2 linked regions of the Arabidopsis thaliana genome follow. The protein of the gene in region 1 interacts with the protein of each later gene in a pairwise test. Each region holds a gene or a part of one and is shown on either strand. Other genes may lie near its edges.

What was found. The genes of interacting proteins can lie anywhere in the genome.
Region 2: the proteins of AT1G31750 (region 1) and U1A interact in a two-hybrid assay, tested with the Arabidopsis thaliana proteins (one large-scale study listed by BioGRID).

What each region holds. Positions count from the first base shown.
Region 1 is NC_003070.9:11,370,068-11,373,863, reverse strand, and holds AT1G31750 (proline-rich family protein), read left to right. Parts: upstream 1-1,666; 5' UTR 1,667-1,832; coding exon 1,833-2,073; intron 2,074-2,765; coding exon 2,766-3,055; 3' UTR 3,056-3,279; downstream 3,280-3,796. Other genes in the region: AT1G31760 (SWIB/MDM2 domain superfamily protein), read left to right, coding at 450-662, 1,137-1,262.
Region 2 is NC_003071.7:19,515,438-19,519,476, forward strand, and holds U1A (spliceosomal protein U1A), read left to right. Parts: upstream 1-1,749; 5' UTR 1,750-1,791; coding exon 1,792-1,888; intron 1,889-2,006; coding exon 2,007-2,179; intron 2,180-2,456; coding exon 2,457-2,550; intron 2,551-2,748; coding exon 2,749-2,846; intron 2,847-2,958; coding exon 2,959-3,249; 3' UTR 3,250-3,476; downstream 3,477-4,039.

The DNA of each region.
Region 1 (3,796 bases):
ACTCTCTACGGCGATGTTGCGACGGAGCATCCGCCATGTACGAATAGCGACCGGCATCAAACTATTAAACGGTGCCGTTTGTCACCGAAGACTAAAAGTTCATTTTAAATTGCATATTAACCCTTACATTTTACCTTTATTTTCGATAAACATCCTAATTATTTCTCTTTTTTCTGAAGCCCAAATAGGCCCAAACTGAATTTTAGCTATCTTCTTAAATTGCACATTAGCTCTTACATTTACCTTTAATTTCGATAAAACATCCTAAATATTTCGTTTTTTATGAAGCCCAAATAGGCCCATAGTTTATGAAAGGCCCAAAATGAGTTTAGCGATCTTCTTTTAAGAGTCTTTCTTGTCTCTCTCGCCGAATTTTTCTCTATTTGACTGTTGTTAGGGTTTTAGCTTCTTCTCTAGTCGTTGTTTGTTTCTCTTTTCGGAAATAAAAAATGGCGGGAATTTCTAGGGTTTTGGGAGGGTTCAGGACACTGATGTCGAAGGCGGCGACTGTTGAGGCCGTTACTGTAGCCGGAGAAGGAAAAGGGATATTCAAGACTCGTCCGGTGTCACAGCAGCTAGCTAGCTTCGCCGGAGAAAGGGAACTCACTCGTGGTTCCGCTCTGAAGAAAGTTTGGGAGTATGTGAAGCTTCACAATCTCCAGGTTTGTTTGATTTTGGAGCTTTCTAAGGTTTTTACTTTGCGTAGATCTGTTTATGAACTTAGGGATTTGGTTGCTTTAGAGAAGGAATTGTTGCATGTAAACTAAATCGATTAAGCATTTTAGTGGCGGATGATTTGATTGTTATGTAGAACATGGATCTTGAGTAAAATGCATGTTATCTTGTGGTTGAGAATGGATTGTTTGGTTTTGACTATATACATGAAGCATCTTGTGGGTTTGGTTGTGAAGATTACTTGGATTGTTGTGTTGGTCATTATCTTAGAGAACTTGGAATTGTAGTGTTCTTTGAGTTTTGGAATTAGTCTATTTAATGTAATACACACAGATGATGTCTATATGTTGAATTGGTTGTTCAATGTAAACAACAAGCAGCTAATGTAGACCATAAACTTCTCTGTTTTCTGGATTATTCATAGTTTCTGTTTGAGTGATTCATTTCTTGCCTCATTGTAGAATCCGGCGAACAAGAAGGAGATTCACTGCGATGATAAGTTGAAGACGATTTTCGATGGCAAAGACAAAGTCGGAATCACAGAGATCATGAAGCTCCTCTCACCACATTTCCCTAAATCCGTCTGATTTGGTGATGTTTATCTAACGTAGTTGTATCTATCTAAGAAGAAATGGTTTGGCTTTTGTGGTTCATTTCGGGTTGTATATGAAACTCTAAACCCGTTTGAACTTTGGTATGTTAACAAACCAAAACAATAACTCTCTTTTGATCCATCTACCGGAGAATATTATGTAGTTTGACCATTTTATCTTAATATTGTTTGATTTTGTGAAATTACTCCTCTCTCTAATCTTTGATGGCTTTCTGCTCTAATAGTCTAATGTGTCGTGTGAGCAACGATTTCGTTATTATTGTTTAATGCATATGAATGGTCACAATTATTTTATCCTCTGATGGAGAAGAAACGTGTCATGATCAGAAGAGGAATAAGAATGCGTTGTTAAAACGAGCAAGCATCAACGCGTCCATTTCGGTTTAAATCAATAGCTAAGAGCCTTTTTCGCTACACATAACCAAATATCGCACACATGTATGTGTCTAAACATAACATAGTATATAGTTCATTTTTCCATATCTTGTATCTCTCTCTATTCATATCATCTTATTATCTCTCAAGTTCTTGATTTTAATTAAAGATGGGTAAAGACGACCACCACGAACAAGACAAAAGATTCTTCTCACATCATAATCATCACGGCCATGGGTATCCGCCAGGAGCTTATCCTCCTCCACCGCAGGGAGCTTATCCTCCACCGGGAGGTTACCCTCCGCAAGGTTATCCTCCACCACCTCACGGCTATCCACCGGCCGCTTACCCACCTCCACCCGGTGCTTATCCTCCCGCCGGGTATCCCGGACCATCCGGTCCTCGTCCAGGTTATTATTTAATCAAAAATGTTGTCTTATGTGGTTATGTCTCTTAGTCTTAGTTAAACGCCCTTGCTATTAACAAATTAGTCCGATTGGTGTTTGTTTTGAGTGGTGTTTTATATAGTATAGTTCTCAAAAATATTATGAGAAGACAAAATGTTTCTTTAAAGGGATGCATATAGTTAATCTTGGTTCATTCAAAAGCCAAAATAGGTTCTTTAACCAAATCTTGCGTTATGCGATGTGCAATTCCAAAAAGTAAAGCTTGGTTTTAACGAAAATGATAATAAATGATTTATGCTTTGATTTTCTAAGTTTTTCAAATTCGAACAAGAATTTAAAGAAAGTTTCTTGCGGGTTATATCAACCAAAAAGAAACCAATAGTAAAATAATTAATGTCTTGATGAATAATTGATTAAATTCTTTTTATGATATAATATATGTGGCTTTTTGTTCAGTTAAAAATGTTTTTTTGTTTTGTTTAATTTAGAAACATAGAAGAATGTGGCTTTTGTTCAGTGTTTTTTTTTTGTCAACATGGCTTTGGTTCAGTTTAGTATGGATTATAAATAATGCTACAATGTTTTAATATGGATTATAAATAATGTTGGTCTAGTTTTATAAGCCCAATTTGGTTTGATAGGTTCACATGCCAAGTAACCTTTGATTGAATGCTCTCCTCATGTGAATATAACAGGGTTTGGAGGAGGAGTTGGGGGATTGATAGCAGGAGCGGCAACAGCGGCAGCGGCTGCAATGGGAGGTCACCATGCGGGTCATCACGGAGGCTACGGGCACCACGGCCACGGAAAATACAAAAGAGGGTTTTTCGGAGGAGGAAAGTACAAGCGAGGAAAGCATAGTATGTTTGGTGGAGGGAAGTACAAGCGTGGCAAGCACGGTATGTTCGGAGGCAAAAGAAGCAAGCATGGCATGTTCGGAGGGAAACGAGGCAAAGGCATGTTCGGACGAAAGAAGTGGAAATGATCCATTAGCATCCTCTCTACATATATTATCGTAACAATTTAACATTAAGCTTAATATAAAAATGTGGATGTATAATTTGTTTTATATGATGTATATATAGCTATATGTATCTATGAAGAGTATTTAATATGGTTGAAATATTTTTCTTACTGATTAACGTTGATGATCATTTTTTTTTCTTCTTTTTTTTTTGGGAAAGTTTTGTATATATGCATGTATTGGTGAATCAGTTTAATAACTTTTTATGTGGAGTGTTTCTTTTTGTTTGTTTTTTTTGGGGGAAAAAACGTTGAGAATAATATGGATTTAGATAATTAAAAGTTTATGTGAATTTTCAAGAATTTGTTTGTTTGGGAGAGATCTACGGGTTGTTTTTTTTTTGTTTTTTGGAATATTGAGAATAATATGGATTTAGAGAAATCTGTTTAAATTTTCAAAAATAATTTTTGGGAAAGATATACGGGATCTCCAACAACAAAATTGTTGTAATCGAGTTCTCCATCGAGATTAATATAGGTGTATAATTCCAATGAACAATATCATTTGGAATTTGTAAGAAAGAAAATCTATTAAAAGATTATTTTCAAAATCTGTTTTTTTTTTTTGTGTTTACCAAGTCAGCTAAGATTTTTTCTAAGTGAAAAACTAAATGGATAAATAAACCCACAATAATAGGGATAATAAGCTGATTTTTTTTTTTTTTTCGTCAGAAAAAAATACTATGATTTCGATTTTGAAGTG
Region 2 (4,039 bases), on another chromosome or scaffold:
GACGCCAATATCTTAGACATTACAAAGATGAGGAAACCCAACGTACGTTCTTCACTTACACAATCTAATCATAGCGTGAGAAGATCTTTTGGATCAATTAAAGGTATTGACAAAGAGAGTTACCCAAATGAAAAAGGATCAAACATTTGATCTAATCCAAAACCCGATAATGCGCAAATAAAAAAGGAAAAGACAAGTTTTGAAAGTCGAAAGGTAACCGATTACTTCAGAAAAATTTCAAGTATTACTCTAGTTCATCAGAAATCCAATTTGCCATTTATGATAACTAATCAAATCAAATACTATAAGGAGCAAAAGCAGAACTAAAAGAGAGAAAGATTTTCTCCTACTTAGTTTTCATATATATATATCATTATAGCAATGTAAAAGTATAATCCATAATAGTTAAAAGATAAACTCAAGTCATACACAGACTGACCATGAAGTTTCGTAGCTAGGCTTAGACCTTGAAACCTCTGCTCCTTCTTCTTCCTCTTGCTATCTCAATTTTTTTACCAGTTTGACGTACATACGGTTTGGTGTGGCTGTGAGGCACACCAGGAGCTGGTCCAAAGTGCTTCACTGCTTCACGTGTGTTCTTAGGACCTCTAAGCAGAACCTGCAATCATTACGGAATGCTACATCAATCGCTACTGCAATAATAAAAAGTGAAAATATAACCCTTGTAAACTGAGTACAAGTGGTCCTCGAGATAGATATTCTCTAATTTTCATCGAGATAGCCTTTTAAACAAAGGCTTACAAGCCACTAGATTTTGAAAGTTAGGACAGTAACCTCAAATTCCAATCATCATGAAACGAGACATAGTAACTGAACTAAGCTACATACGTCACGAACAAGTAAACGATTAGCACAAGTTTCCACATTTCGACAACTGAACTAAGAGTGAAACAAGAATGGGATATACCGTGTTCTCTGACCAAGTGGGGCACGGAAGAGCGAGCTGATCAAAAGTGAGGCACTCTCCACCAGCCTTGTGGATCCTAGCTCTAGCGCTCTCAGTGAACCTCAATGCAGTAACTGTAAGAGCCGGAACATCTTCGATTCTAACATCATCAGTCACAGTACCAACAATAACAGCAATCTTTCCATCCTAATAAAATCAAACACACAGAGCATTAGTTCATGAGTCGCCACCAAGTAACATAACATCGAACTCAATGCAGTAACAACCTAAACAACAACAAAATTCAAACCTTTCCGTCCATGTATCGGACCAGACGAGAGAGAGACAGTGGCGCTTTGTTCACTTTGCTCATGAACAAACGCTTCAAAATCACGGCATTGAACTTGCTTTCTGTTCTCCTCACCAGATATCGGTTCGCCTAAAAAAAAAAAAAATTTAATCTCTGACGGATTTTTAGTCAAATCCTCAACCTTGACAAGGAGCTTGAGATAGACATCGTCGGATTTAGGCTCAGTACGTTTCGTCTTCTTGCTCTTACCTCCGGCTATCAAATCGATACCCTAAAATGATGAAACACACAGAAGAAGCCCAAAGTGAGAGTCAAAATCTAGAAAGAAGCAGAACCGAAGATTGCTTGGGAGTGAAGATAAGAAGTGAAACTACTAATAATATGTATCAGTTTAGGGTTTTTGATGGGCTAAATATATTAATCGGCCCACTAATAAGAATATTGGGCTAACTGATGGGCTTATTAGGGCTTTAGGAGGAACAGAGTTAAACCTCACTTTTTTTTATTAATTCGATTTTGGGTGGTTCCGGCTAATAATCTTCTCCGAATTCGACGGAGAGATTTGGTGAAGACGATGGAGATGCAAGAGGCTAATCAAGGAGGAGGATCGGAGGTTTCTCCGAATCAGACGATTTACATCAACAATCTCAACGAAAAAGTGAAGCTTGATGGTACTTAATTTTTTTTTTTTTTTTTTTTTTGTTTTATCGTCTCGTATATCTTCTTCTTCTCCTCCGATTTGAGTTGATTGATCTCTTCATTGTTGTTATTGGTAACTTTGTTCTACAGAGCTGAAGAAATCGCTGAATGCAGTGTTCTCTCAGTTCGGGAAGATACTGGAGATATTGGCGTTTAAGACCTTTAAGCACAAAGGACAAGCTTGGGTAGTCTTCGACAACACCGAGTCTGCTTCCACTGCTATTGCTAAAATGAATAATTTTCCTTTCTACGACAAGGAGATGGTACCAATTCCTTCCACTCCAGTTACTTTCTTGATAACTTCTTCTTACTCGATGTGTTTTGGTTTGCCTATTTGCCCCTAGAGTTAGTGGAACACCTAATTAGGGTTTGAATCTACTGATTAGAGAGCTTTTCTTAGTGAACCACATGGATTCTATTTGAAAGACCCTTTATATGTTTAGTGGTTGCTTTTAGGTTATTGACCATGTTTTAGGTTGTGGAAATACTTATCAATCACTTTGCTATATTATTAATTCCTAACTTTAACAATGTGGACAGAGAATACAATATGCCAAAACAAAATCAGATGTTGTTGCCAAGGCCGATGGTACATTTGTTCCTCGCGAGAAGAGAAAGAGACATGAGGAGAAAGGTGACACTTTTTTTTTACTTCATTGCTTCATTGGCTCACTTTGACCATTACTGCATATGTGTACATGAGATTTATTGCTCTGTTTCTCATTCCCACATTCTGCATTTGATCATTAGTAGTCACATCACATTCACATTGCTTCTCCACAACCTACAAACAGTTTGTTTTCGCATCTAAATATCGTCTTTGGAAGTGCAGGAGGCGGCAAGAAAAAGAAAGACCAGCACCATGATTCTACACAGATGGGCATGCCCATGAACTCAGCATATCCAGGTGTCTATGGAGCTGCACCTCCTGTGAGTTATTTCAACATCTTCTTAACTCTAATCTTGATTCATACGTTTGGGGGACGCTCTTAATTCTTTTCCTGTATTCTGATGATCGTTCTTATTGCCACGCTTTTCACAGCTATCGCAAGTACCATACCCTGGTGGTATGAAACCCAATATGCCCGAGGCACCAGCTCCGCCAAATAATATTCTCTTTGTCCAAAACCTTCCTCACGAGACAACTCCAATGGTGCTTCAGATGTTGTTCTGCCAGTACCAAGGATTTAAGGAAGTTAGAATGATTGAAGCCAAACCGGGAATCGCCTTTGTGGAGTTTGCTGATGAGATGCAGTCGACGGTCGCAATGCAGGGACTTCAAGGTTTCAAGATTCAGCAAAACCAGATGCTCATCACGTATGCCAAGAAATAGACAATTTCGTTTTATTTGTGTTTCGATGAGATATGTTTGTATCTGTCAATGTTACTTCTTCCATGGTTTGCGCAAGAAGGAAACTTGTCTTTCTTGTGTGTTTGTTGTAGAATTGCTTAGAATATTACACAATCATCTAACTTACAATTTTTTCATCCAGACAATAAGCGTCTCGATTTGGTGTTTGTCTATCTAATATTTCGTCACCTTCTTCCACTTATGGATAAGCCTCTTCTTCCATATTTGATCAGATAACTGAAGACCTTTAATTTGACTGATTAAACGAAACTATAATGAATTAAAGTAAAAAACTCGCAAAGTGAACTTTAAACTAAAGGTTTATGGATGATTGGTTTGTTCTTTTTTATTTACGAATTCTTGGATATCTAATAAAAGAGAAACAAGAAGCAATCATTATTTGATGTTGGATTGGTGAAAGAAAAGTCTTTGTAGTGTAGCTGTTTTTCTTTGTTGCTGATGAGGTCAGCGATTATTAGGTCCAAAACTCGTGCGTCAAGAGAATTGAGTGAGCTCTCTCCTTTTTTTGAAATATTGGGCGAAGGACACTCCTCCATGCATTTAAGTTATCAAAAGCATTAATTAGACGATGGTTCAATAAATGAGTGAGCATTTAGTGGGAAACACGAGTGTGATACGGACACGTAAAAGCATTAATGCATGTGTTTATAGATTTGGTGATGACTTCATTGTCTGACTCTGTCTCCTCTTTTTACAAGACAAAAGATTTGTTGCTGATTCATCTCTGCCTCTCTGGTCTGTGTGACACACA